Linked DNA regions of Sus scrofa. The protein of the gene in region 6 purifies or fractionates together with the protein of the main gene of each other region. This does not show direct contact. Links are inferred from orthologs where the notes say so. Each region holds a gene or a part of one and is shown on either strand. Other genes may lie near its edges.

Region 1 (3,948 bases), on a different chromosome or scaffold from region 6:
CAGGGTCGCGCCGGCTCAGGGACTGGCGCCTGGCGGGGGCGGAGGGGCGGGCCCGCCGGTCACGCGGCCGGGGGAAGGCCTGGCCGGGTCGCGCAGTTGGGGGCGGTTAGTCCGGGAAGAGGGGCGGGGACGGGCGGGGCGGTAGTTTCTCTTTACCGTCTCTTTACTTTCTGAAGCAGGATGTGGGCCGGCACGGTGACGTCATGGGGTCTCCCAGCCCCGCCCCCCGCCCGGGCCGAAAGGGGGAGGGGACGGGAGAAGGGCGGGCGGGGGAGGGTGTGGGGGGGACCCCAAGGGGGTTTCCTCAGCAACGCGTGGAGGGAAGGCGAAAGTCATTGTGAAACTTGAAACTCATTAACTTTGAAAAACAACTTTATAAAAAACCGAGAGGGGGGCGGGGTGTCGGGTTGACGGGTGGAAGGGGACATATCATTAACCCTGAACTGAAACCACTTTTTGGTGGCGGATGTTCTATTAAAAGATTGAGGAAAGCCAAGGTTATTCCAGAGGCCGCTCCAATGCCTGCTGGTGGTTCCCAGAGCCGGAGCTGCGAGCGCGGTTAACCCCTGCCTGTCCGCCTGACAGCTTGGGGCAGGGAGGAGAGGGGTCTCTGGGGTCAGGAAAGGGGTTGCAGGGCTAGGCAGCCGACCTGGCCCCGGGGAGGCTAGGGAGGAGAGAAAGGGGGAAGAGGGAGTAGTTACCATAACCCAGAGTTTGACCCCGGCTGCTAGAAAGCAATAGAGGAAGCAAGGAGTTGGAAACCGATGGAAAAGAAATTGGGAGGGGCTGGACCAGGGTACTGTTGCAAGTTTTCGGGGTTAGACCAAAAGAACAGAAATGTGGGGCTCAGAAATCCCACATGGACCCCTAAGGAAGCAGGCACAGATACTTGGTTTAAGGAGCCGCGCTAAACTCGAGAGGAATAAGGTGAAACAAAAATTTGATGCAGAAAAAATTCTCAGATAAACCCAAACTGCTTTACCCTTTTAAGGAATAAAAATGCTAAACGACCGTACACCCACTCTGCCGACCATCTGTGCAAACTTGAATTGTTTTGTTCCTCGGGGCTTCCATAAAGACATCTAGGTTTTTCCTGCTAGGGTTGACCCCTAAAATTCCCCTGAGGAAATCCTACCTCTAGCTCATTTGAGCTAAGAAAAGCTTAACTGCACCAGTATGCCAATGATTAAAAATGGAATACTCAATAAAAGCGAGCTTGTAACCAAAAATAATGTCATGTAAAGGGGGGAATATGCCCATCAAAAACTGGATTTGGCCATAAGAGCAAAGAGCAGCCAACAACTGCCTAAATTTGCAATAATGTTTGGCAAACTATGCTTCCAACATTGCCATGAAATAATGCACTCTTTAAATTTTCGATGTCATAAAATCACCTCTTTTATGAAATTAAATGGCAACTATAAAAAGTACGTACACTTCGCAGTTTGTGTTAAAAGAAACACAAACATCTCTTTAAGTGCGAAAGTATACCTAATTTCTCAGAGGATAAAGACGAATATTGATTCTACTTTGTGTCACCTGCTAAGTCAAAATTACCATATTTTTAACCCAATAGTTGTTGACCATAACAAATATTTAGCGTGAACACAAGGTTTAAATGGAATTTGGCATTGCTGGGAACTTTCTAACAAATTAAACATGCAATCTGGAGTTGTAATAGATTAATGTCGTCATTTTAATTTGCTATAGGACTCTTTTCTTATATTCTATTCACAATTTCACTTTCTGGAGCATTAAATTAATATTAATTTTTTGAAGCATATACAATACCGAACAGTTTCCCACTCCGAATTTTCTAAATGCAATTTCTTTTCCTAATTCCTCCTACAGCCCTGACTCCCTAGTTATCAGAATGCAGGGGAATCCAACTCAACTATAAAGTAGCTAGTTTCGGCTTAATTATTTGGTGGCAAATTAAATACAATTTCTCAAACTGTATCCTATAAACGGAATGTGGAGAAACACCTTTTTTTTTTTTTTTTTGAATCAAAAGATAAATGGGAATGGTAATTCTGGCACAATGGGGGAGGTGACCATACTCCGGAAAAAAAAAAAAAAAAAAGGAGGGGGCTCCTCTCGGGCCCCACTTCCCTCCAGCTGCGCCCCTCCTGGAGGTGCGAGCGCTCTCGGAGCCCCCCTTGCGGAGTGGGGTTCAGCTGAGGGCAGTCCCACATTTGTCTGGCAGAACAGTGTGGGGAGAACACAAGTCCTCCGCCGGGGTTCGTCGGGGGACCCCGCTGGCCCGCCGCGTCCGCCGGGCGCCGCGCCACCGCCGCTGCCCTCTCGCCCCCCTGCCCCGGTTCCCACGCGGCCGCCCGGCCGGCCCGGCTCGGGCTCCCCCCTGGCGCGGCCCCGCGGCCCCGGCCCTCCGCCCTGCGCCCGGCCCGGCTGCGCCAGCGCCACGCGGAGATCCCGGAGGTTCCTCCCCGCTGGCCTCCGGGTCACGCCGCCGCCCGTCCCTCCCCTCCGCCCTCCGCCCTCCGCGCGCGCTGGGCTTCCCCGTCCACCGGCCGAATCCCCTCCTCCTCGGGCGACCCGGCGACAAAACCTGCCCCGCACGCTCTGCCAGCTCTGCCCCACGCCCAGGCTCTTCCCCGGCCAGACGCCAGACAAAAGAGCCGACCGAGAGAAAACTTACCCGAACTGCCACGCAAAAGTCTGATCCAAAGCTTCCTGCGTTTAACTTTTAATTTTAAAAACAACAAAAGCAGAAACCAAAAGCCTCCTAGGTTGGAAGTGGGCGTGAGAGGAAATGCTAGGGGGAGGCGCTTCATTCCCTCGGCTGCTTTTGCCCCCCCCCCTTTTCTGGCCCCTGCCTGGGGCTTTGATGTTATCTAGTGCACCGCCTACGTTGGGTTTATACCGTGGGCTCTGCGCCGAGAACGATACACAGCTATTTGGCAGTTTATTTGCTAGTTTGAAGAGAGAGAAGCAGGTGGTCACGGGGAAGGATTCCCACTTCTTACTCCCGCGGTGAGAAGAGCGTTTGCCCTGCTTCCCTTTGTTATCTGGGCTGAAATGAACAATCCACCTATCCAGAAATCCTGGAGAGCTGGACCCTGTGGCATTTTCTGTTAGACACACAAAAAAAGAAGCCTTCTCAATTAGATTCATTTTCCCTCCACTCAGCACAAACTTAGAACAGGGTGGTATTGTATGTTTTCTGAGGCTTTGTTTGGTTTTTAGATTTCGGTTTTGAAAGTAAATATTATTTCTCTTCTAAGATAGACCTGCAGCCTTGAAAAGACAAGATACCACTGAAGAAAATAAACTCACATAATCACATGCCTTTCATGTACCATTGGTACAGGTCAGGCTCTCCCGCACCCTCCCCCTCCCATTATGGAAAGCTTGTAACTGTTGATTTTATCTTCCTTAACTGGACACTAGCAGAAACCGGATATATTTTTACATTAGATTAGCAGTCTCAGGACCATCACAAACAAAGCACTAACAAAAGGATTTCTTTTCTTTACTGTCAGATTCGTAATCAAGAAACACTGCAGAGGCTGCCATTCGGTCCTAACTGTTCATCCATTTTATGCCAACACCAACCTGTGTTCAGGCCTTGCCCTCTGGGAGTTTACAAATTAATGGAGACAGAATAAACACGTGGAAAAATACCTAGAGGGAAAAAGATACAAGAGGAGGCTTATAAACAGAGCCAATTAAAGTTATACACAGTTATTTACGTGATTGCTGAGAGCTTTCTGGATTGGGTGGAGGGCAGGATTATCACAGAAAGTTCCATCCATCCCCACGGTGAGTTCTCAGCAGGATTTTGAGGGAGAAAAAGTTCAGGATTTGGCAATTGTATGAGAACAGCATTCCAGGCAAGGGAAGTGGCTTGAAGGTGAGAGCAAGTGAACCGTGCGTGTGATGGTTTTTCTGGCTAGGACAGAAAGTCAAAGTAAATGTGAAAAAGGA
Region 2 (4,200 bases), on a different chromosome or scaffold from region 6:
CACCACCACTGGCTCCAACCTCCTTTCTACCTTAGAGCCATACAATCTCAACCAGAAAAGACTCAGTCACCTCACTCAGCCTGCTTGCCAGTCACCTCCCCATTCCTAATTTTGTTTACACCACTACCCTTTGCCTAACTAAACCCCTCAAATTTCTTGAGGCTTCCCAGGGCAATCGCCTCATATATACATATCTCTCATTTCTCTCCATGATAGTTTGCCTCTCGACTCATGAATCAGCAAGCAAAGGTATGTGCGTGCAGTCTGAGGACTGTGAAGTCCAGATCCTGAGGTTATTGTTGAAGGGAGACGTAATGATTTTTTTTTTTTTGTAGATGCAACCCACCCTCCTTCTCAATCTTAAGTATACTCAATAAATATCTGAGCCTTGAGTATCATTTTTCTAATCACTTTCATATTAATCAGGACAAATGCCAGTTGCAGAAGTAAAGGTCTTTTCCAAAGCTCTATAAAGACAGCAAGTTCTTCCCGAGCATTCATTAACTGCTAAGCATTGCTAGGGTTTCAGAGGGCTGTGACAGAGATCCAGGTTTCATTTGCTCCTCTGAGAGGTACTGAGACAACCCAGACATGCACGATATCAGGGAGACAAAGTAGAGGCAGGGAAACAATTATAGTTTGTCCCCTTTTATAACTTAAGCCTGAAACTGCTCAAGGATGCAAATAGCCTGGATGAGTTCTGAGAAAAGAAGTCATCAGGAGATAGGCAGGAAAGGCACTAAAGAGGTGGGCACAGAACTGGGAACTGAGAAGGAAGAGAATTTGGAGTGTAGGGTAAGTAGATTTGGGTGTGGGAAGGGGAGTTATATAGGGCAGACATGTTAGGTGACTGTGGGTTTGAGGCAAGCAAAGGGCAGGTCCAGCTCTGGGCTGGAGATATCCAGCTGTAAATAGATGGATTATATTGGTGCTTGGTCAAAGTGAGAGGAGGAGACTATACAGCAGTATCTGCAATTCTGGTTAGTGTCTCTAAGGTCCCCAGCTAGCCTTTCCTTAAGTGAGGGATTTACTGGGTTTCATTGTCTCCTCTCAAAAGTGCCTAGGCTTTGCCAGGGCCCTGCAGTGCACAGAGTTCTCCACCCTGAGAAGTTGCTCAAAGGTCCAACAAGAGCCTTCCAAGCCCTGGGTAGCTCCCTCCTTCCTGTTCCTCAGAAAGGCCTAGAGTCCATTGCCAGAGGCACACTTTGGTGCAGACTGAGCGGTGGGTGGGGCTGAATGAGGAGAGCTGCCCTGGGGGAAGGGGTTGTGCTGGTATCCCCAGGGGTGGGGCCTGGAGTCCAAAAGCACAGCACCCTCCACCTAGCCCAGACCAATGCGACTGGCAGGCAAAACTACAGTGGATAGTGAATGTATGAGGACAAGGCTCATCTTGACCCCGCGGCCCACACCAAAAACAAGCCTGTCCAAACCGAGGCCAGCTTTGCAGGGTCAGTCCAGCTGCCGCCTGTGCAGTGGCGCGCTTGGCGGGCACAGCCCCTCATCAGCGGAGAGCCTAGGCAAAGTCCGGCAGTGAAACAATATCTGAGGTGTCAGCAGCAGACAATGACAGCGGCCCAGCAGGCTAAGTATTTTAAGTAACTAAGAAGTTGGAGGTTTTGGCTGCCTCTTTAGCTCTCTCACACACACCCAAACGGTTCGTTCCCTCTACTACAGTAATTGCTCCCTCGACCTCTGGCAGAGAACACCCCCGCGCACACACATGCACATACACAACACCGTGCTTATCGCTATTTTTAAACCGGAAGCTGGAGAGAGAAGGCGGGGGCGGGGGGGGGAGACAAAGAGGCCTTGAAGCTCTAACCCAAGGACTAGCTTGGGCTACTGCCCTAACCCAGGATCCAGCGAGAGCCGGGCTGCCAGCGGGGCGGGCACCAGATGCACCCAGTGGCTGGTTGGGCCCTCAAGGCCGAGGTCCTGAAGGGAAGTGAGAAGCCCACAGGCCCAACTGAGCTCCCCCAAGGAGGAGGCACACAATGTAGATACCCCAATCCACGACAAAGCAAGTATCCTATCCGTCGGGCCCAGACCAGCACGTTGGCTCCGTCCCCAGAGAAGTAAGAGAGGCAGGAGATGCGCAGGGGAGGGGAGGGGTGGCAGACGGCCGCTGGGGTGAGCAACACCCGTGTAACACAGCTGTTCTAGCTAAGGTGCTACAACAAAGCTGCTGAGCTCCAGGCCTACAAATGCCCGCTGGGGGTGCTGGTTGGCTGTTCCTCTCCAGGGAGCTAAGGGTAGCACGTGCGGGCCCCATCCCCGCCTCCCCCAGGAGCCCAGATGCATAGCCCAAGCTAGCTCACCGGCCTGCCCACCTCTTCTCCGCCTCTAGCCGCAGTCGCTCGCGCCGAGTACCTGGCACTGGCCCACACCGGGCAGTCCTCAAAGCGGGTTTCAAGGGGCAGCGCAGAGCGGTGCGAATGCCGACCCGCCCAGCCCTGAGAGCTCCTCTCCAGGCTGCCAGAACGGAGCACGCGGGACTGCCACCGGAGGGCGGGCAGGCGGAGACTACTGTCTGCGAGCAAAGCTTACCCAGCCCGGTCTGGTTTCTAGCCCGGTTATTGTCTGCTGCGCCGCCCTGGAGAAGGCTGGAGCCTCAGCTGCCACGGCTGAGAGCTCCGCCGCCGCCACCGCCGCCTCCGCCTCCACCTCCCCCTCCCCTACCGCCGCCGCTGTTCCAGTCACCTCCTGCACTGCCTCCCCTTCCCCAGGTTCCAGGGAGTTCCCCCCCACCCCTCCCCGGGACTCAGCCACAGGGTAGGGTATGGGGCGCCCTGATTGGCAGGTTTGTGGTCCAATCCCTAAGGTGAAAAGGCGTTCCCCGACTCGCCTACTGTTTTCCTCCGTGAGTTTCTCTTTAAATGCAAATAAGCGCGGGCGTGGTGTAGGCAGGGGGCGGAGAGGCTGCAGAACCCCTGGCTGGGACTCCCCACTCCCCCACCCCCCAACGACGGGCGGGTAGCTAGCTGCTTGGCCACACCTCAAGCTCGCGGGGCCGGTCCCGCCCGGATGGGGTTCGCGGGAGCCCTGGAGCTCGGTTTCGATTTTGCTTGCGTCCCATTTCCGTGGCGGCCCTGCAATTTGGCTGCCCTGGCAGCAACCACGCAGTTTATTCCAGAGAGGCGGGCAAGGAGGGGCGAGGGTGGAGAGGTTGGAGAGGCCTTCTGCCCCTTGCCGAGCCCAACCTTGAGCGTAGAGACTGGGCCCTGCTGCAAGCGCTACTTGGCCGCGCTGGGGAATTCACCTGCCAGGAAAGTCAATTGTGGTGCCCGCCTCCCAGCTTTCACCACCTCTTTGGCTCATGGGCACCTTAAGAAACCATCCAGTTCAACTTCCAGTTACTGAAGGGCCTGCTGCTGCCCAGAGAAGAAAAAGTACTTGCCCAAGGTCACTCGCCTTGCCCGCAACAGGGACAGATTGAAGTTCTGCCCAGGCTCCCAGTCCAAGGCTGCTTTCATTTTTCTTCTCTGTAGATACCTATTTCCGTGATTGACCCTCACCCAAATCTCCCACCTTTTACAGAACTTGAAGGGATCCCCAAAGTCTCTAGTGGCCCCCTCAACCTTCCCTAGTGGTGAGCTATGCTCTGTGCTGTTTCCTGTCCTTGAAAAAATCTGGATAGAGAGAAATATTTTGTCTAGGCCCAGACCAGAGATCAAGTCTGAGGGTGGAGTGAGAAGGCCTGTACCAGCCGTGCCACTGATGTGTCTGGGATGTGGCAGGGGGCCAGCTTGAACTTGAGTCTCTAGCTTAAGGGCATTAAATGGCATTAATGGCTGCCGGGCCAGGTGAGCTGAGGCAACAAAGAATCCAGTTCTACCACTAGCTCAAGAATATCCAGAAGGCCCAGCCCTAAAATTCTGTAGATGTCTAAAGGGGGGGGGGGGGCTAGAGAACAATGCCTGCCGTTTTTGCATTGCAGGAGGAATGTTCTCTGTTGCTTGATTGGGTCCCGTCTGCACTGAAAAAAATCCAGCTGCTAAAACTGGTAAGAGGAGGACTACTGCCCCTTGCATGTGTGGCACACAGGAAGAGACATGGCTGCTAGGGCTGGGATCTGGCTCCAGCTCTGCCTCAGACCTCCTGTATGACTTTGGCCAGTCTGTTTTACTCTGGGCCAGTGCATCAACCCATCTCCACAAGGAGACAAAATATTACAATTTGGAGAAGACAGTTTCCAAATCT
Region 3 (4,235 bases), on a different chromosome or scaffold from region 6:
AGTCACACACAAGTGTCAAACTCCTGAACACAAAGAGCACTTCCTGCATTGGGATTGCTTTCCCTTGTTGCAAACACATGCCATCTGAATCTCCGAAAAGAGACCCACATCTTTTCAAACACCAATAAGAAGTAGTTACAGGTTTGGCTAACCTCTTTCTCCCATCCTAGAACTCTTATAAGGGCCATTTTACTTATGTATGCTTACCCTTCTTTCCGCATATAATTTTTATGGGTTATGACAAACATTTTATAATATAAAGGAAGTTTTTAAATGATAATAAAATCGATGTGCCCCCCCCCACTGATCCCCTCAAATTCATGTTAGTCCTAACCCCCAATACCTTAGAACCTGATTTAGAGATAGGGCCCTTAAAGAGGTAATTAAGGTAAAGATGAGGTCATATGCATAGGCGCTAATCCAACATGATGGGTGTCCTTAGAACAGGAGATGAGGCCACAGCCAGGTACAGAGGGAAGATTATGTGAAGACAGAGGAAGGAGAAAGCCATCTGCAAGCCAAGGAGAGAGGCCTCAAAAGAAACAACCCTGCTGACCCCTTGATCTAGTCTCCAGATCTGTGAGAAAATAAATTTCCCAGTTATTTAAGTCACCCAGTCTGTGAAACTGACAAGGCAGTCCTAAGAAACTAATAAGATGCTAATAAAGTTAATTGGCTGCAAATTAGGCAGTTCACTAGTTATGATGAGCAGAAAGCACCAGTCATTCAGCCCTGCAATACTTTTCTCTTGCACACTTAATGAAATATTTAAAAGGTCTAGGAATGAGCCTGTCGAAAACCAAAACGGTTTACTCTTTTGCCCAAGATTACACAACATAAGACCAAAGTAAAAACTAAACTCAGATTCCCGATTCTCTTCTCAATTAAACCAGGGCCTTGGAGAAAGAATGAACATTCAGGAAGAAATATAACCATGTCCATTTATCACTGGATCTATGGCACTAGAGCAAATATCTGCTAACGTATACAAGGCTTTGTGAAACAGGGGTACTTCCAGAGAGGCATCAGAGTGAGGCAGCTAACAGCATGGACTTTAGACCAGACTGCTCGGATTAAAATCCCAGATCTGTCACTTAGTAACTGAGAAACTCCTGTCCAATCACTAGCCTCTCTGGGCTCAGTTGCATCACCTGTAAAATACAGAGATACAGGTGATAGGATTGTTGTGAGGGTCAAATGAGCCAATAACAGGTTGAACCATATGAAACCACTATTTTTACACATCAAAATGGCCAAATATCAGCAAATTCATACGGTTCAACAGGAGACATGGAGAGCACTAAGAACAGTGTCTAGCACCCAGTAAGTGCTGTGAGTTCAATGTCAGACTCAGCACGCTATATGATGAATTATGAATCCATCCCAACCAGCTATTTGCCTTCTGCACTGTTTGTACACTTCAAACAAACCCATGGGCGCAGCCCCGGCTGTCAATCCCTTCCTTTCACCTCTCCTTTGCCCCATACTCCCACACACTGAACACTTCCTACTTTAGAGCTCATTCTACTGCAGGAAGTCAGAGGTCTCTGCGAAACAGAGGCAAACTGCACGGCACCTCAATCTCTACTCTCGATTCTTCTCCAGATGTGGCAGAGTGCTTTAAGACTCTGGCATCCACTGAATAAATCATTGACACAAATGCAACCCCTCAGGAGGTGAGACTTTCTAGGATAGGCTACCCCCTCCCCCCCCATTTTGTTGTAAAACAACTCCAGGCAGCAGCAGCCTTTGGAACCGACGCAAAACAAGAGAGATCTGAAAAAGGCAAGTCTGGCCGGGTCCAGTGACCCAGATCAAGAGCAAAGAAGGAAACATACAGGACTGTGTCTCAACTCTTCTGGGCCTCAGTTTGCCCATCTTGAAAATAGTCTCACAACGTTGTAAACCAACTATACTTGAGGGAAAAAAAGAAAAAGAAAATTGTCTCTTACTTCCCTATCTACCTCCCAGTGTCAGATGTAAAGAAAATTAGGAAGACCTTGGACATCAGGAAGGAAAGGTGTCATTATCTTAGAGTGGAGACACTACCAAAAACATCTTCCTAATGCTGTCCTCCATGAAGCCACCCTTGCTTGGCACCCATTCTCAACCTTTCTTGGCACATCTTCAGTCTCAGGCGCACAGCTTTTCTCCTCAGCAGATCCTCCCCACTGCACCCGTTGGGCGGGACTCGGTCCCTTAGAAAGTCTACCCAACCCTTCTCTCTCCTTGTTCCTGATCCATCCCTTAGACAGATCCCCCCTCGTTGGTTCTCACCCAGCTTCAGCATCCTCTCTACCTCAATGAGTCCCTTCTGGTATAGTAGCCCTCACCCAGCGGCAACCCCCGCCTTCAGCAGGTGCTTTCCCTAACTTGTCCCCACGTTCCTCAGCAGTTGCTCCCCCCGGCTGTCGCTCCCCTCCTGCCAGGCTGTCCCTCCAAAAACAAGTGATCTCTAACCAGCCCCATGTTTATCCCCCCTCGTCCAGACCCCCGCCGGCCAGGGGTCGCCCATTCAGCAGGTGCCCCATCAGCCCGGTCGCCTGGCCCCGCAGGTCCATCTGCTCCACGGGCTCACACACCCATCACCCCTCCGGCCGGTTCCCGCCTTTCCCTCCCCGCCCCCCTTCCTCTTGACCAGCGAGCGGCCTCTCACCGGCGCGGCGGGTTCCTCAGCTGCACCGTCTCCATGGCGCTGCCGGCAGCCGCCCAGACCCGCTCAGTGCTCCATCCTCCCCCGGGACTTCTCCGAGCCCGCCCCGCAGACCCTCCCACACTTCCGCTTTCCGCCCCTACCGGAAGCGGCGAGCTGCTCAGGGGAGGGGCGGGGCCGCGAGGGCCGGGCCTGGATCACGTGGTGCGGACTCGAGTCACGTGGCACGCTGGGGCGGAACGAGGAGGCTCGGAGACAGCCTTGGGGCACGTCGTCAGGCAGACTGGAGTCTCGGCGGCGTTGTTTCTTGCGGTGGTGTTAGCCCGAGACACTTGGTCCCCCAGACCTGGAACCCATCGCTGCCTCGGGCCGCGCCTCTCATATCTCAGACGGAGATACTGAGGTTTCTTGCGAAGCAACATACTTGATAACAACTGTCGATTCTTAACCAGCCAAGTTCTGCGCGATTCCTGGGAAGCACTGCTCCAGGGACTCCCAGAGGTATTTATGGTACTCTACAGGTCTGAACTAATTGAATTCCTGTTCCAGGTGGAAGCTCGAACGTGCGAAACCGCTTCGTGGATGTAACAGAGCATCAGCCTGAAAATTGCTCCACCCTCTTGACAGCCTCACCTGTGTACATAAAAAATAGCTATTATTTTTTAAACTCTTACCATGTACTGGCTTTCAAGTGTTGTTTCATTTAATCCTCATATCAAGCCTGTAACGTTAACCCCAATCTTCTCTGCTAATTTTTTGACACTCTTACCATTACCACGTTTTCATGCCCTACTAATGCTAATTCATTTAATACTCTTAAGGCTGTAAGGTGCATACTTTTGTTGTTCTCGTGAGGCCAGAGAGGTGAAGCTCAAATAGCTAAAAGTATAGGTTTGGGGAGTTATATCCAGATAGACCTGATTCCAGAGCCTGCACCATCAAACTAGACAGTCACTGTGGACCCTTGGTTGGGCATGAGATTCAGAGCTTCCTGTCCCCTCAGAGCTCCAGTTCCAGTTATAGAAATTCATAAATCCTCGGTTGCCACCACCATCAGTGAATATTAAGAAAAAGGAAGATTCCGCCCAATTCACTCATAACGTTACCGGAGAAAATTTACCCAAAGCAACCTCTCACCATTTTTAATTGTCCTGTTTTTCTCAAAGCATCTTCAGAACAACACCTGAGCAACCTCTCAGGGCGACCCAGGTATGGACTCCATATGCTAAAAATGGAGTAACAGCAGTTCCCATTGTGGCTCAGCTGCTAAGAACCTGACTAGTATCCATGCAGATGCAGGTTCTATCCCTGGCCTCACACAGTGGATTAAGGATCCAGCATTGGTGCAAGCTTGGCTTGGATCTGGCGCTGCTGTGGCTGTGGCATAGGCCAGCAGCTGCAGCTCCGATTCAGCACCTAGCCCAGGAACTTCCATATGCTGCAGGTGCAGCCCTAAAAAGGAGGGGAAAAAAAAAGCTAAACATAAATTTAAAAAAATAATAAGGAGTTCCCGTCATGGCTCAGTGGTTAACGAATCCGACTAGGAACCATGAGGTTGTTGGTTCGATCCCTGGCCTTGCTC
Region 4 (4,062 bases), on a different chromosome or scaffold from region 6:
TTTGATGAAAAATTTGACAGGATCTAGTGACAAACTAAATAGGATAATGAAAGAATGGAGCTACATGAAAAAATCAAAAATACTAACTGAGCACACAGACTTGATCATCAGTAACATACATGTGACCATGTAAAAATGTCTGCACCTTAAGTAAGTGCTACTCAAGGCAGAAAATAAAAGTGGCATTCTTACAGGGATTAAGAAGAAAACAAGCAAAAGGGACCAGAAGATTATAGAAAGAGATGACCACCACATCATGGAATGCTAAGAAAGCAAGAGAGAGTTCTGAAAAAGAGGCATCACTGTCTATAATGAGAGGGTGCACAACCCTTGGAGCCCATCAGGCCCAGGGTTCTGGCACCTTCTCCACCTGATCAAGTTATTTAATCTCTCCAGGCTTCATTTAATAAAGAAAATATAAAGAAATAACTAACATATTATGAATCACTGTGCTAAGTGCTTTACATATGACCTCATTTTTCTCCTCAAATCACACTTTACAGATGAAGAAATTTAAGTCTGACCTAGCATAGTCAGCTACAGAGCCAAGATTCCTATTTCTTGGGACAATAAAGTATAAAAATGTAAACACAGGCATTCCCTGATGGCCTAGCAGTTAAGGATTCAGCACTGTCACTGCTGGGGTTTAGGTTCAATCCCTAGCCCAGGAACTTCCATATGCCTGGAGGGCACAGCCAAAAAAAAAAAAAAAAAAAAGAATGCATATATAAAATTCCTGGCAAATAGTAAGACCTCAAAAAAAGGCAGCTATATTTCATTATTAGAGGGTAATGATTAAGGGGGAAACACAAAACCTCACTGTCGGTTATCCCTGCCATAGCCTTCTACGTGACGAACTCTCTTAGTTTCTTGCCTATAAAACAGGATTAATGTCTGTAATCCTAACGACTCTATAGGGCTGCTATAAAGATTAAATGATATTACAAAAAAGAAAATGTTATGAAAAAATATGAAGAGATATTCAAATACATGGGATTGCCACATATCTTTAGCTCTTTAAAAATGCTTTCCTGGATCAACATGTCTCTCTGAAAAGAGCTAAAAATAAGTTGCTCAAATGTGTAACCACCACTTTGAAAAGTATAAGTCAGCATGGAATGCTGACATATACTACACACACCTCCCCCCACCCCTCCAGGCTCTCCCGTGTCCCTGCAGGGGCAGGGGTTCTCCAACACCCAGAGTGAAACTCTGATAACTTAGAGCAGAGCTAATCCATACAGAGCTTCTACTTCCATTCAGAGCTGTTCACCTTGGCCTTAAAGTACTATCGCCAAGGTGCCCCTTACAGCCATTCAGAAACAAAATGGGGGAAAAACTGTATCCAGTTTTCTTCTATAGTATTAAAACTGGGTACCCAATCAATATTAGAATTGGGATATTGTAGAATGCCAGAAAAGAATCTATCAAGGGCTCTGCATGACAGCAGGTCTCTTTTGGAAACTTCTCCACAACCCCCCTTTCGCACCTGAACAGATGGTTTCCAAGCCTCAAGGCTCACATGTCCAGTGACACAATTCACAACAGCTCACAGAGTTTCTATCTTTTTAATTATTTCATGTTCTTGAATATACCACCTTTCACTTAAACTCTCTAGGTATCAAAACACTCTAGTCCTCACCAAAAGCATCATCTGGGAGAGAGATTAATACTCTTATTTTATAAATGAAAAATGAAAGACTTAAATGTTTTATCCAATATCAGTGGACTGATTCATTGTTGGGTGTGGGGACGCACACTGAGAATAAATATCTATGGAAAGCCTTGATTTAGCTTCCCAAGAGCACTTCAAATATCAGTTCAAAAGTATCTACTGTGTACTCTTACACATCCAGTATATCAAAGAATAAATATAAACAGTAAATATCAAAGCATCACTGTTTTTACATGCTAAAAAAAAACAAACAAAAAAAACCAAACCTGTATGGGGGGTGGGGTTCTAATTTAAGATTTCTGTCTTGCATCCATAAATACTTTTGAACGTGTGGAGGAAGGGGGAGGAACACCTGTCAGTGCAGCACATCTACAATAAGTTTTACAGACACTGTAGCTAACACACTGTAGCTATTAATATTTAATTCCTTGAAGTGTAAGTAAACAGCCCGCTTTCTCAAAAAAAGGGGGGTGCATATTATGGAAAACATTTGACAAGAAAGCCTATAGTAAGAAGTCCAATAATTTCCTAGTTTTACGTCCCCCAGCTTCGTGAACTTGCCACGAGGGAAAACTCTGCCCGCCCCAGGAGTCCAGCCGCTGGGCGCCCGGCGCTGCCCACCGACTTTCCACGCGCTCCAGGCCCGGCGGGCCGCAGGGGAAACGAGACTCGGCCTCCCTCAGGGTCCCCTCGCCGCACGGACCGACGCGGCCCTACACTCGGACCGGCCTCGAGACCCCCGGAACTCCAGGCTCCCGGCCCGGCAGTCAGGGAAGGGGTCGCGATCCAGCCCGGCCTAGCGGCCCCCGCCCAGCGGCCGCCGGCACCGCCTCCCTCCTTCTCCTTGCTCCCCGCGTTCGTTACCTCTTGGGCGCCGGCGGCTGCTCCATGGCGGCCGGGGGCAGAAGGAGGGACCAGGTGGGCGGCGAAGGCCGGAGTCGGGCAAGGAGCCGAGGAACCGGCCAGCCGAGCCCAGGGAACCACAGAGGGAAACTCCAGGAACTCGGACCAACTTTCCCGTAACTCCGCGGCGGATCCCCCTCCCGCTTGCGAAAGCGGCTCCTCCCGGCCCGCCCCGCCCCTCCGCCGGGGGCCGCAGTCCTGGGAGGGTGGGCGGAGCCGGCCGCGGCCCAGGCGTGGTAGGCGGAGCCAGGCGCCGGGGAGGGCTGCCAGTGGGCGGGGCCGGGGGCGGAGGCAAGGGGCCAGCCACTGGGCGGGGAGGAGAGAAAAGGAGCTGGGATTGGAATGGGGAGAGGGTGAGGCCTAGTCGGGTCCCAGAGCCTCTGCTTGCTGGCCTGGGGCATTCCTTTGAAGTGGGCCAAAGCTGCCGCTCCTCACTTGCCTTCATTGCTTTTGCCCCAATCAGATTTGACTCATTTCACTGGATTTCTCAAGAATACCTCCCAAACATCTTCAGCAGCCTTTTGAAGTACTAGCTGCCGACACTTCCCTCTCTAGTTCTCTTTATAATTATTGGTTATGTTTTCCCCCAGCCATCCCCCACTACGAGGGGTGCTTCTGGAAGTTCTTGTTTGATTTTAATTGTGGACAAACTCCTCGCAATAATTATGTCTAATTACAAAGAAAATAATTACTGCAGTGAGATCTCTCATGCACTGGATTCAGTGCACTGCTGGCAAACCTGTCACAGATTATGGTACATAGAAAAGTACTCAAGAAGAGTTTCTTTCCTTCCCTTTTGCCACCCTCACCCTCACCTGTCCCCAAGACATTTGTAATTTGACTCCTTCATGCATCCATATTGTGTGTGTACCATTTAACCTTAAATTTCATCTATAGAGGGTTTTTTGTTTTTTTGTTTTTCTTTTCTTTTTTTTTTTTTTAGGGCCTCACCCACAGCATATGGCCAGGCTAGGGGTTGAATCAGAGGTGTAGCTGCTGGCCTACACCACAGCCACAGCAACACAGGATCCAAGGCACATCTGTGACCTTCTCCACAGCTCACAGCAACACCAGATCCTTAACCCACTGAGCAAGGTCAGGGATCAAACCTGTGTCCTCATGGATACAAGCCTGCTTCGTTAACTGCTGAGCCATAACAGGAACTCCTATAGGTATCTTTCTTATGACCTTACATGGTGCTATGTAATGACCTAGCTTGTTTTTGTCAGAAATTGTCACGATGAAGATTAAAACAAAAGGTATGAAGAGAATGTTGTGAACATTAATCCAAATTATACTTATGTATGGAGACAGTCCTCCTTTTACGTTATTTTAAGTTTTTTCTATGTAATAAAATTACATGATTTATTTTCAAACCATTTTATTCTCCCCCTAAACTTAAAGTTTGTTAAGGCCATTTCCTGTTTGTTTAGGTCATTTTTTAAATTATAGTTGATTTACAATGTTGTGCCAATTTCTGCTGT
Region 5 (4,275 bases), on a different chromosome or scaffold from region 6:
TCTTCCAGGCTCTCTTTCTAAATCTTCCACCAGAGCCACTGCCTCCTCTCCACTTTCTGGACATTGCTTTTGTACCCAATTCTGGATCTCCCCAGGTAAGATGGTCAGGAACTGCTCTAGCACCAACAACTCTACAATCTGCTCCTTGGTGCGCACCTCCGGTCTTAGCCACCGACAGCAAAGTTGCCACAGTTGGCTGAAAGCCTCCCGGGGCCCAGCTACCTCCTGGTAATGAAATCTCCTGAAGCGCTGTCGGAAGGTCTCAGAGTTAGTGCCAGTCCCTCTCAGGGTGGGTTTGGCCATCATTCACAGCAGAAAGCGGCTTTCCTCCATTTAAGGGTCTAGGTTCCAGGGTTTACACCTATCTTCCATGTCCTTGAAGAATCACCTGCAGATGAGTCTCTCTCTGTAAGAAGAATTTCCTCCTAGGGTAGAGAGAGATGGCACTATCAGAAGGAATACACTCATATGTCTAAAGTCTTGCCAGAGCTGGCCTGACTTCCCCTAAGTTCTGCGTGGCCATGTGAGGTAGCACCAACTTCAGGGCAGCAAGCCAAAACTGAGCATGAAGGTGAGAGACCATTCAAAAGCTGCATTTCTGGGCGACTTCCAGGGCAGCCCCGGGGAAGCAGCAGAGAATAAACTACTGACTGCTCCTCTTCCACCCCTCCCCAAGTCTGACCCATTGAGCTCCCCTGGCCAGTGCTGCATAGTGAGTTCAAACCGTAAGGGAGACCTAGAGCTGAGAGGTTTTAAAGGCATGTCACCACCCCGAGGAAGGCAATAGAAAACCCTCTGTCCAGCGGGTCGCCTCTGATCTGCCCCAATACTTCCGCCGTCCTTCCCCAAACCCTCTACGTCCGCCCCGCCCCCTCAGACTCCACCACCACCAATTTCTACCCCAAACAAAAATCAAGTACACAACACTGGGTCTTTGTTTTCCCTCACAGCAGAAGTAATCGCTCAGTAAATATCCGGGAACTACTGACGGGAAATCTCGAGCATTGAGAGAAGTTGGTTTTGACTTCTGAAGCGAGGGCCAGGTGGACTTGGGGAGAGTCACACTGAGTTGGTGGAAAGAGGGAGTCCGAGGGGGCAGTAGTCATGTGTCTCCTGAAGACGAGCTCGAGTGCTGGCCAAGCGCTCCGAGGGCTGCGGTATTCGCGAGTGCGGAGCACAGCTCAAGGAGCGGCGGGTGCGGGGTTCCGGCCTCTTTGTCTTCGCTTTCTGGCCAGGTCACTCTCGGAGCGGTAAGGAGTCCCTCCAGAGGCTTCGGACCGGGGCTAAGGCGCCCTGAGAGCACCCTCTGGCCCACCCCTAGGAGCTTCTCCCACTCGGGATACCCCTCAATCCGCTCGCATCTCTGCCCGTGGGCCAGCCTCACCCACTCGAGGTCTGGCTCCAGCCGGGACTCTCAAGCCTCCCAGTCCAGTTCCCAAACCGGAAGTGAGAGCAGGCGACTAGGGCGCCACAGACGCATGCGCAAGGGCAGCTGCTTAGACACCTCTCGCGGAGCCCCGGCGGGAGCGAGCGAGTGGGCCCAACCGAGCACAGTGCACTTCCGGGACGCGGCTCGCCTATCCCTTCCCTGCTTCCCGTACGCTCTCCGCAGCAGTTCTCTCAGCGGATAAAGTCTGGAGGAACCGCCCGTCCAGGAGGCCTGTGCGCGAGTAGAGAAAGGAATACGCGTTTCCTTGGTCGCCTGGTGAGGCTCTGGAGAAAGGTGCAACGGATATAGGGACCGGAGGTCCGCCGTGGAAATGATCCACGAACTGCTCTTGGCGCTGAGCGGATACCCAGGGTCCATTTTCACGTGGAACAAGCGGGGTGGCCTCCAGGTACAATCCGGCTCAGAGCGCGGGAACTAGCGAGCAGGGAATGGGTGGACCTGAGCCACTGCGTGGGGGAGGAGCCTTAGGGGGCGTGGCTTGCAGAGCTGAGGCGGGGGCGGGGGGGCGTGTCCTTGAGCAGGTAGCTGGAGGGCTGTGCCGGAGGGGCCTACCACGGTGTAAACACCTTGAGAGGTTTGGGCTACGCTGGGAAAAGGAGGGCAGACTCCTGAAAGGCCCTGCCTTGGGGAAGAGGAGGGAATCCAGGGCTGAGCCTAAGGATGAACTATCTGAATGAGAGTTGCTGGGGAACTGGATGTAAAAATGAGGGAGATGCTTTCTCCCATCTTCACACTTGCACTCTGTTTTAAGCTGTTTTGAAAATTTGTCCAAATACGTAGTATCTAACACAGAATACGACTTCAGTCAATTATTTTGAATGAAAAAGTGAATGAGGGTGTTTCCCTCTACTCCTTGACCAGGAAATTTCTTCTCCAGAAGAATTTGGAGGGAGGCCTTCATGTAACCAGGAATGTATGAGAAGGAGGGGCCATGTACTACATGTATTATCTCATTTAACTTCACAACCACCTATCTCCGTTTCACAGATTAACTCTGGTGTCAGGTATTAGGCAGTTAATAATTAGCAAACTTGGTCTTGAACCCAGATCTGTCTGGCTCCAGTATCTGAACCACTCTTCTTTTCTACTTATGCTTCCAGTAGTATTATCTAATCATCTCAACAACATAGCAAGTTAGGTATTGTTAGCCCCAGTTTACAAATGAGCAACTTGAAGCTCAGAGAACTTTATGGTGGCTTGTAGTTTTTGGGTTTTTTGTTTGTTTTGCTGCACACACCTCATCTGCTGCGTGTGGAAGTTCCTGGGCTAGAGATGAAGCCCATGCCACAGTTGCCACCTGCTTTACAGTTGCCGTAAGGTCGGATCCTTAACCTGCTGGACTGTAAGGTAACTTCCTATGGTGGCTAGTCTTGATAAGGCAGGATTTGAATCTATCTGTATACAAAGTCATGCCTGTGTCTATAAGAATTGGTAGTATAGGCTGTAAAGAAGCAGGAATATTACTCTCTTGGTCTATAAAACATAAATTAATCAGATTCCTTTTGTTGTTATTTATTTTTTACTACAAAACTAGGACAAGGCATATAGGAGAAGAATATTCAGGAAGCATGTATGTGTGCTTGATTGAAGTAGAAAGAGAGAACACACTATGGGAACAATAACAGCCTTTTTTTCTTATTTAAAATGTCTCAATTGGATATTTTCCTAAATTCTCAGATTTAAAGAGAGAATTTCACCTTCTCAGAAAAATTTTCTCAGACCACCTCTTTAAGAATATTCCTTATGCCATTATTTTGTTTTTTTTTAACGGTTTTTATTTTTTCCATTAGAGTTGGTTTATAGTGTTCTGTCAATTTCTACTATACAGCAAAGTGACCCAGTCACACACATATATATATATATATACATTCTTTTTCTCACATTATCCTCCATCATGCTCCATCATGGATACAGTTCCCTGTTCTGTACAGCAGGATCTCATTGCTTATGCATTCCAAATGCAATAGTTGGCATCTATTAACTCCAGACTCCCAGTCCATCCCACTCCCTCCCCCACCCCCTTGGCAGCCACAAGTCTGTTCTCCAAGTCCATGAGTTTCTTTTCTGTAGAAATATTCATTTGTGCCATATATTAGATTCCATATCTAAGTGATATCATATGGCATTTGCCTTTCTCTTTCTGACTTCACTTAGTGTGAGAGTCTCCAGTTCCATCCATGTTGCTGCAAATGGCATTATGTTGTTCTTGTTTATGGCTGAGCAGTATTCTGTTGTGTATATATACCACATTTTCTTAATCCATTCATCTGTTGATGGACATTTAGGTTGTTTCCTATTTTCTATCACAGTAACTTGTTTATTTCCCTTATAGGACATCACAGTTCATATTACTTATTGTTATTACTTATTGCTGTATAGTCTTTCTCTCACATTGACTGACCAGGGGGGCAAAGAAATAGTGGTCTTTTTCATATCAGGAGCACTTGGCACAATTTCTGCCACATAGTAGGTATGAAGATATTTGTGAAAAAAAGACCACCCCAAACAGCAAATATTTCATACTTTTTGCAGAACAGTGTTTTTCACATTTGAATGAAGGGAGAAATTGTCATGAATGTGCAATGTTGATAAAAATTGTTTTATCAACACATTAAGCCAGGTATAAACTTAAGCATATTGCTCTTAAACAACTATAAAATCTGTTATTTTGGAGTTTCCATTGTGGCTTAGCAGTAATGAACCCAACTAGGATCCATGATGACATGGGTTCCACCCCTGGCCTTGCTCAGTGGGTAGAGGATCTGGCGTTGCTGTGAGCTGTAGTGCAGGTCACAGACTCACGTCCTATCTGGCTTGGCTGTGGC
Region 6 (3,500 bases):
ACTTCACATTTGGGAAACTGAGTGTAACTTTATAGGTGATACAGCATTGCCTAGCAAAGGCTGAACTTTTTTGCCAAGGAGGAAAGAGTGAAGTAACTAAGACCTGCCAAGAACACATGTGAGAGAGTTAATGAGAAATGCCTGTGCATGTCTTTCCTGGTTCAAGCAAGAGGGCTAAACAATAAAACTAAACTAATTAGAACACAAGAACAGTATCAAACATCTCCAATGTTTCTCATCAAGTTCACAGAGTTTACTGGTCTAGGGAAGTTACACTCGAATCTGAAATGGTCCAGGAGCGTAATCTGCTCTAGAAAAGTCACTTAAGTATTGTTTAGAATCATATCTGCGTCATTTTAATGAAAAATTATGGGAAATCTACCGAGGAAACTGAGACTGTGCCTTCTCTAGATCTCTACTGATGGCTCAAAAATGTAAAATGATGCTTCGCTGAAAAACTAGGGCTTGGATTTTGGAAATTTTATCAAATAAGAATAAAAAGTCAATTTCTGATTAAGGTTTTAATTAACTGGCGGCCTTGCAGAAGCGTTTCATGTTTTTAAAAAGTCAGATCATTTTCTACAAAAAAAGCCTTTTCTACTTTAAAAAATAGCTACAGATTACACATTGTGACATATTTGCTCCAAGACTTCAACTTAAAAAAATTTTTTTTCACTAATGCTATGATTTCAGATCAACAGAACACTCTAAGGCAACATTAAAAAGTTGAGAACAAAACACAAAGAGCCCATAAAACAGATAAATCATAAAGTTACCTCTATATCCTGGATAATCTTTGGGTATAATGACCTATAAAATGAATTGGGAGGGCCATCTGTGGGTCTGTTTTTAAACAGGTACTGATCCCTGGCAAATAAAAACAAACAGATGTTACATTTTTGCACATAAAAGGCTGAATTTATTGAAATGTGGTGCTTACAAAGATGTATCTTTCGAGTCTTTTGACTTGCACTGAGCTTTAACAGTTCAAAAGCAGGATGTGTGACAATTAAATGTTCATGTTAGACAGACGTTTACTTCCGCTTACACTTAACATGATCCTAATCTTTCATTTTCTTAATACTCAACACAATAACCTCGCCTTTCCCTCTATAGTTTAACAAAAAGCATTAATGCAGCTTTGAGAAAAATCGAAGTTAGTACACACCAAACTTCTTCCCATAAGGAAAGACAACACAGCCCTAACCATCACTCACCCCACTAGCTACCTGCAACGCTCTCTTTGTCCGCGCTGGCTGCGCGCGGTCCCTGACAGGTATGGAGCTACGGAGCTAGGAGCTACGAAACGAAGCTGTACATCAGATAAGGTTGCCTCGGAAAAATCCCACCCGCTCTACCTCCCGTCTTCAACCAAGGGCAATACATCTAACAGCAAAACTGCATTATTTGATTTTCTCGTGTTTTCTCGTTCTCATCTATCTTTTGGTAATGGTAGCGGCACCTCAGGAAAAGGTGAAAGGAGAAGCATATTCACATAGCTTTGAAAAGCCCAATCACTCATTCAAATTATCCAATACTTTCTAACGGATATAGAGGAAATAGAACCTATCTATCCTAACTGATATAGAGGAAATACGCATTTCAGAAGGGGTTATTTTAACAACTTTAACTTTCTGCCCCTGACTCCTGACCACTCATCTCTTCCCATTTGCTTTAAGATAGGCCAACACATTTGGTAAGTATAACTGCTTTTTTTTTAGTAATCAGAGAACCTTTTTTCGCGAGAATATATAATCCAAATACTTACCACCCTCTTCTTTCTGAAAGTCCCTTCCATAGAGGGTCAGTGCGCACCATTCGTTCGATCAGCTTCTTCCACAGCATGCCTTCGGAGATCACTCGCTGCCATTCTTTACACACCAGCTCTGCTGCACACAGAGACCTGGCATCCAGGTAGGAAAGAATGTTTTCTGCTATGTGATCTAAGCCTTGCTCTACAAAACAGAAAGGGCAGTGAAGGAATGGGAAGGGAGATGCAAATGTAGTACCAGTGACCGTTTCCTTAAAGGTAAGAGGCATAAAGAAATCCTGAACTGGGAGATGTGCTTGAGTAAGATCAAAAGTTCTGCAGATACACAAGTGCATGAGTACATACACACACACACACACTTCTTTTGGGTTCTGGTTTTTTAAGACGAAACAACTGACGGCAACAGTTCCTATGTGGAAGTCAATCCTGGACCATTCTATGTTTGTCAGATATTATAACAAAAGATTTCTTTTCTTTCTTTCTTTCTTTTTTTTTAATTACATAACTCTATGGGGTAATGACAGCCCAAATGTAACAGATGAGGCAGAGAGGCAAAAGGTGTCAAGGTCTTGTAACTATAAGTGAAGCCGAGACTAGAATTCTAATCTTTTGCTGCACAAGTTTGTGTTCTTTCCCTTCTGATTTACTAGATCATCCTATTAATCCTGACCTAGTGAATTGCTTCGAGTTAAAGAGACAAAAAGGTAAAACGCGGACGCATCTGAAAAAGCTTATGAAAAATTAAACGACAATCCAAGAATTAAGTTAGGTGTACTCTGATTTTTGCCAATCATTTCTCCATCTTCTCACAGAGGTAAAATCCTCAAAACATGAACCGCGTGCCTAAAAATTCGAACCTTAAGAGGTTTACCCTACACAATGCACGTATCCTCTCAAAGACAACCACTATCCAGCCTTTGCCTGACATGTGCCCGTCACAAAGGTGACGAGGTAAAGAAGATCCCTGTGGTCAACAGAGCGGCTGCCCGCAAACGCCCATCCTGTGGGTTCTAGGCATCTCCTCTGCAGCTACAAGAAACAGAGGTCATCCCCAGGCCTTCTCTGTGGAGGAGTGGGAACACCAAACACATAGCTAGAAAATTCCAGTTTCAGGTCTAGGTTCACCATGCAGCAGTTCTATAGCACGAAACAAATATTTAAACAATTACTGAAACGTCCCTGCCTCTTGTTTTTTTTACCACATAAAATGGTAGGCACTATCTGCAAAAATCCATAAGGTTCTATGAAAAGATTTTAAAGACAACAAAGTACCATTCAAGGTTAACATGTGTTCTCTTTTAAGATAAACGGAAGCAGGAGAGTACTAACTTGACAGGTCTCGGTAAATCGTTAAACTCGCAGAGCCTGAGATTCCTCATCTGCATAAAATGGGGACAACATTCTCTGCCGTTATTGTGAAAATATCAAACTGAGATGATGCATAAAACATGCTTCCCAAACCAAGATTTCTTTCATCCCTAAGATGACTATTTACACTGTTGCTTATGGTTTACAGGCGCCTCACACACTAACTCTCCGACTCTGCTCTGGGTCTAACACCCAGGTTGTGATGTGATAATGAAGATTACAACTACCCTGAGGCCACTATCTCTTCTTGCACGTGTCACTACATCGCAGTTAATGCAGTCAAAGATTACACTGCCTTCATCTAAGAGGCGTTACCGCAGCAGACTCCCAAGATGGCCGTGGCTGAATTAAAACCTTAGAC
Region 7 (4,239 bases), about 46 Mb from region 6:
CTGTTTCTGCTCCAACGGGACAATTTAACAAAAGTATGCTCTGTTAGAAGACACCAAAGAGAGACCTGATCTATGTTAAGAGTCTGTCTCCAATCAATACAGCACCTACAGCCTCCTTGGCCCTGGTGGCTTCCCTTTCAAAGTAATGTTTAGAGGAGGAACTCGGATTAGAAATTAATACTGACTAGAAAGAAATAAACCAAAAATTAATTTCTGATTAGAAATTAACACTGTAATACAAATACATCACAAAATTAATAACATAAAAGATTAAATACATAAAAATTTCCCTCAATACTGAAGTCACTAGAGGAAAAAGCCCGTGGGTTCCATAACAACCTCTTCAACCTTAGGCAAGTGACTTAACATCTTTGAGTTAAAGATTCTTCATCTAGGAAGGGAAGGGAATGGAAATGATTGCTGAAGGCCAACTTCAAGACCATATTAATCATGGAAATAAAAATCCAACCACTAGGTTTCCTTACTGAGAAAAAGTACTTCAAAGTGCAACAGGACGATTGGAGGGCAGGAGATTGCAGCTGTCCCACGTTATCCTGCAGTTCCTCCCACTTGCACTAGGGGGCAGAGTTCTTCCAAAGGGGAGGTCATTGGTTCCCTGAGGCCCACAGACAGGCTTCCTGGGGACTAGGACCCCAATAAATCCAATACAAATTCTATGTCTCATCAAATTTCCTAAGGAACTCACAAAACAAAAGCAAAATAAAGGGCCCCCTCCACTGCCAAAAAAGTTAAGAGTTAGTGTCCTGCAGGCAAGAGCCTCAGGTTTTCTTACAGATGAAAGCAATTAAACACAGCCCACTGGTCTTTCATCAGTGGTTAACCTGCAACTCCTGCAAAAAGTTCTGGTGCCTTCTTACAAGCAGGAAAACAAAGGTCTATGGATTAGAAAATGCTAGAGTCTCATAATTGTAAATTTCACTTTTTTTAAAAAAGTAAAAAAATTGTATTAATGAATGATTCATTCCTTTCCAGTCTCCACCTCTCACCATGAATGTGGGTATAACACTGAGACACCACTTTTTTTTTAAAAAAAAAAAAGGGATATTACTATCATGCAAGAACATTTCACTTAGGCCATTGTAAACAGTTGTTAGATTATTTATAATCAGTGGGCATCCAGAAAGTACAATCACTTGAAATAATGTATCTAATTAAACTGATAAAGTTAGCCAAAAGAGATGCAAACCTTCACCAATCTAATATTCTGGAAGATTCCAAAACTGTCCTTGATTTACAAAACATCCCCTGGCTTTCAGTGAAAGTCACATCAGGCTCCTTAAGTCAACTAAGTTTACTTTGAGCCACTTCAAACCTCAAACTTAAATAGAATTTATTAAATAAACACAACCAAGAAAGGAAAGGGAGCCAAGAAACTACAGTAACTCTCGGTCCTGGGGGGGAAAAAAAGGAGGTTCTCAAGACAGAGATTTCAAGTAACTGTGGTGTCCCGCCCTCCATGACCCTAAAAGGAACATCAGTTTAATCTTTAAAAATAACCAATGTTCGCTCTAAACGCTTTTCTTTACATTCGAATTTAAAATCTACAAAAACAGTCCGCACAAATTCCTACTCTTTTTGTCTCCCTGTCCGGAATGATCTCAGATCCTAAAAAGAGCACTTCTTGGTGAGCATTAGAACCTAGACTCCAAAGGTCCGACAGGCAGAAAACACAGTGAATGATTAAACCCTCGCCTCCCCCTTCTCACACTTCATTAAGCCGTCTCCACTGGAAGTGTTTGCACCCCTCTCACAGGAAGCCGGCACGTTTTGCAAAGGAAATACCAAACCAGACCCTTTCTTGGAGAAAGGCACGTCCCCGATGAATATTTTATTGGGCACCCTGGAAGTGGGGCATGCAGACCTCCCGGCCAGGCCCCTCGTCCGCCGCCTCACCTAGCGCCGGGCGCCGTTGGGACACCCGGGGAGCCGGCCACTCCTGCAAAAGGACGCTCACCTTCGCTCACCGGAGCCAAGTTGAGAGCACGGGACAAAATAAAACCTGCCTCGGCTTACTCAGCCGGAGACTCCCCGGGGGTTGATTTCTGACGACTCCCAAAAAGTTTCGCCCTCTCGGGTTTAGCGCGCGCGGTAGCAAGTGTGCGCGCTGCGCCGCGGGCACATCCCTCCCTCCCCGGAGGCCAGGTCTGGGCAGGAAGGGAGCCCGCGCCCGGCTCCCGGAACGCAGCCCGAGCTGGGCCAGGACGCCGGCGTCCGCCCTCCCGGCCGCTAGCGCACTCACCTCGGGAAAGAAGTTGTCCATTGTTCCCGTGCGCTCCCCAACTTGCCCGAGTCCGGCTTCCAGCTCGAGGAAGTCAGCCCAACAGAAGGTCCGGGGAAACCATGCGTGTCACGGCGCGATTCCCAGCAACTTGACCCCGCGGAGCTCCCCCACTGCCATCGCTTTTTCCCCTTATTGTCTTTCGCACCTTTTGTTTGCCCAAACCCAAGTCTCTAACTCATTCGTCCCAACTGCAGCCTTTGTCTCTTTCTCCAAGTTCCTCACTCCTGGGCGCTGCGCTAGCAAGCGGAGAACAGCTGGTGGCACATTCTTCCCCCGCGGCTGGGGGAGGGTGGCGGGGAGCTGGGGAGCGCGCCCCCTCCCTCTGCCCTCCGGCGGGAGGCGCTCGGGGCGGGCAGGGGAACAGCGGCCACAAAGCGAGCCCGGAGTTGCTCTCCCCGCGCGAGCACTGCAGCGGTGAATATTCGGGCGCCAGGGCTCAACCGGCTCACAGCCGCACGGAGACTTGCGGACAGGAGCGCACGGCCAGCCCCGCCCGCTCGTCCGGCCCCGCCCACTCGCTCCCCTCGCCCCGCCCCACCGAGCGCTGAGCCCCGCCCACCCTGCCCGGTCTGCCACGCCACGCCACGCCCCTGCAGGAGCCCACTCCTCCCCGCGCTTCCGCAGGGTTCTGCCCCACCCGGCGGCGCACCCCGCCCCCATCTTCTCCGGGTCCCCTCCCACCCTGCTCCTCCGGCTGCCTCAGGCTCCGAGGCGGGCGGGGAAGGCGGGGCCTGATAGGCTCCCCTTACATCCCCGCCCTTCCGCCTCCCAGCCTCCCCACCTAGTTGAGGGCGGGGGAGTTGACTCTTCCTTCTGGTGATAGAGACCAAATAGTCACCGAGGAGGAGGGGTTGGGGGACTTTTTTGTGTGCCTTTGATCTTTGGCAGACCCTGGAACCGGCTAAGCACGGATCTCATTAATGCGTCGGCAGATGAGCGACCCAGGCAATGGAAGCGTGGTCCGCGAAGCTGCCCTGGCTGTTGGGCCAAATCAAAGCGGAGAACCGAGGCTAATCAGAATTTCTGGAAGCTGCCTTCCCGTGTGGAGTTTCTCTCCTGCTGTTAGGTTAAAAGACTTTTTCATTGGAGCCAGAAAATGTAGTTTTGTAAATTGGAAGAGGACGTGGCCAATTGCACCCTAAAAATGTAACCCTTTCCTGGACCTAAAGGAAGCAGATAGCCAAACGGAAGGGAGATGAATGAAGGCTCAACCCTTCCCCCCGCCCCGGTACTGAGTGTTAGTTTCCTCTAGGGCAGGTCCTCAAACTTTAGAGTGCACAGGAATCACCTGCGAATCTTGTTGAGCTGCAGGTCGGAATTCTGTGGGGTGAGAATCCATAAGCTGCATTTTCAGCAGGCTTTCAGGTGCTTTCGGACACCCAACCTTGTACTGTTTTGCAAACTGTTTGGAACCTGTCTGTAATGAGGGGAGAAATTGAGAGCAAAGGTTTAGACACTTTTGTAGCAATTTCAAAATGCCGCTGATATACAAGCACGTGATCGGTGAACGCTTTGAACCGAGTGCAAACCATTTTGGGTATTGTCAGACTCGTAGTAAGTCATACCTGGCACTCCAGGGTTGTCCTATGGGTACTTGACAGATTGGGGAGGGGAAAAACAAACAAACAAACAAAAAAACAAAAACACGGCTGGTTCTTCACCACAAATGGTTTGAGAAGCTCTCTCTAGGGGATTTGCCAACTGCTACTCATCCTTTAAAACTCAAGTCGAAAAGTCACATCTTCAAGGGGAAGCTTGCCCAGAGATGCCCAGCCATTCATCATAATTCCAGCTCCACCTAACCACTGGGTGTGGCTTATTCCTAAGGCTACTGGAGAAACTATGGCGTATTGAGGTAAACCTACATCATGTCCAGGGGTTTTTATTGGTGTCCTACTCATCTTCAGTTGGCAGAGTCAAAGCTCAAGAGAGGAAAC

Evidence for each region.
Region 1: the proteins of FBXW11 (region 6) and HIVEP1 purify together in Homo sapiens (affinity purification with mass spectrometry; 3 studies listed by BioGRID and IntAct, counting the BioPlex papers as one, with this or other methods). This does not show direct contact. The link is inferred for Sus scrofa from reciprocal best matches to the Homo sapiens genes FBXW11 and HIVEP1.
Region 2: the proteins of FBXW11 (region 6) and AMER1 purify together in Homo sapiens (affinity purification with mass spectrometry; 7 studies listed by BioGRID and IntAct, counting the BioPlex papers as one, with this or other methods). This does not show direct contact. The link is inferred for Sus scrofa from reciprocal best matches to the Homo sapiens genes FBXW11 and AMER1.
Region 3: the proteins of FBXW11 (region 6) and STK4 purify together in Homo sapiens (affinity purification with mass spectrometry; 5 studies listed by BioGRID and IntAct, with this or other methods). This does not show direct contact. The link is inferred for Sus scrofa from reciprocal best matches to the Homo sapiens genes FBXW11 and STK4.
Region 4: the proteins of FBXW11 (region 6) and STK3 purify together in Homo sapiens (affinity purification with mass spectrometry; 4 studies listed by BioGRID and IntAct, with this or other methods). This does not show direct contact. The link is inferred for Sus scrofa from reciprocal best matches to the Homo sapiens genes FBXW11 and STK3.
Region 5: the proteins of FBXW11 (region 6) and TUBGCP4 purify together in Homo sapiens (affinity purification with mass spectrometry; 3 studies listed by BioGRID and IntAct, counting the BioPlex papers as one, with this or other methods). This does not show direct contact. The link is inferred for Sus scrofa from reciprocal best matches to the Homo sapiens genes FBXW11 and TUBGCP4.
Region 7: the proteins of FBXW11 (region 6) and MYO10 purify together in Homo sapiens (affinity purification with mass spectrometry; 3 studies listed by BioGRID and IntAct, with this or other methods). This does not show direct contact. The link is inferred for Sus scrofa from reciprocal best matches to the Homo sapiens genes FBXW11 and MYO10.

Annotation. Positions count from the first base shown.
Region 1 is NC_010449.5:8,514,708-8,518,655, reverse strand, and holds the start of HIVEP1 (zinc finger protein 40), read right to left. Parts: upstream 2,801-3,948; 5' UTR 2,660-2,800; intron 1-2,659.
Region 2 is NC_010461.5:50,861,306-50,865,505, forward strand, and holds the start of AMER1 (APC membrane recruitment protein 1), read right to left. Parts: upstream 2,801-4,200; 5' UTR 2,701-2,800; exon of another isoform or gene 2,319-2,700; intron 1-2,318. UniProt on the Homo sapiens protein: Regulator of the canonical Wnt signaling pathway.
Region 3 is NC_010459.5:47,386,159-47,390,393, reverse strand, and holds the start of STK4 (serine/threonine-protein kinase 4), read right to left. Parts: upstream 2,801-4,235; 5' UTR 2,692-2,800; coding exon 2,657-2,691; intron 1-2,656. UniProt on the Homo sapiens protein: Stress-activated, pro-apoptotic kinase which, following caspase-cleavage, enters the nucleus and induces chromatin condensation followed by internucleosomal DNA fragmentation.
Region 4 is NC_010446.5:38,010,540-38,014,601, reverse strand, and holds the start of STK3 (serine/threonine-protein kinase 3), read right to left. Parts: upstream 2,801-4,062; 5' UTR 2,566-2,800; coding exon 2,540-2,565; intron 1-2,539. UniProt on the Homo sapiens protein: Stress-activated, pro-apoptotic kinase which, following caspase-cleavage, enters the nucleus and induces chromatin condensation followed by internucleosomal DNA fragmentation.
Region 5 is NC_010443.5:128,081,240-128,085,514, reverse strand, and holds the start of TUBGCP4 (gamma-tubulin complex component 4), read left to right. Parts: upstream 1-1,475; 5' UTR 1,476-1,760; coding exon 1,761-1,838; intron 1,839-4,275. UniProt on the Homo sapiens protein: Component of the gamma-tubulin ring complex (gTuRC) which mediates microtubule nucleation.
Region 6 is NC_010458.4:52,302,901-52,306,400, reverse strand, and holds part of FBXW11 (F-box/WD repeat-containing protein 11), read right to left. Parts: intron 1,956-3,500; coding exon 1,769-1,955; intron 868-1,768; coding exon 777-867; intron 1-776.
Region 7 is NC_010458.4:6,142,686-6,146,924, forward strand, and holds the start of MYO10 (unconventional myosin-X), read right to left. Parts: upstream 2,801-4,239; 5' UTR 2,282-2,800; coding exon 2,261-2,281; intron 1-2,260. UniProt on the Homo sapiens protein: Myosins are actin-based motor molecules with ATPase activity. Unconventional myosins serve in intracellular movements. MYO10 binds to actin filaments and actin bundles and functions as a plus end-directed motor.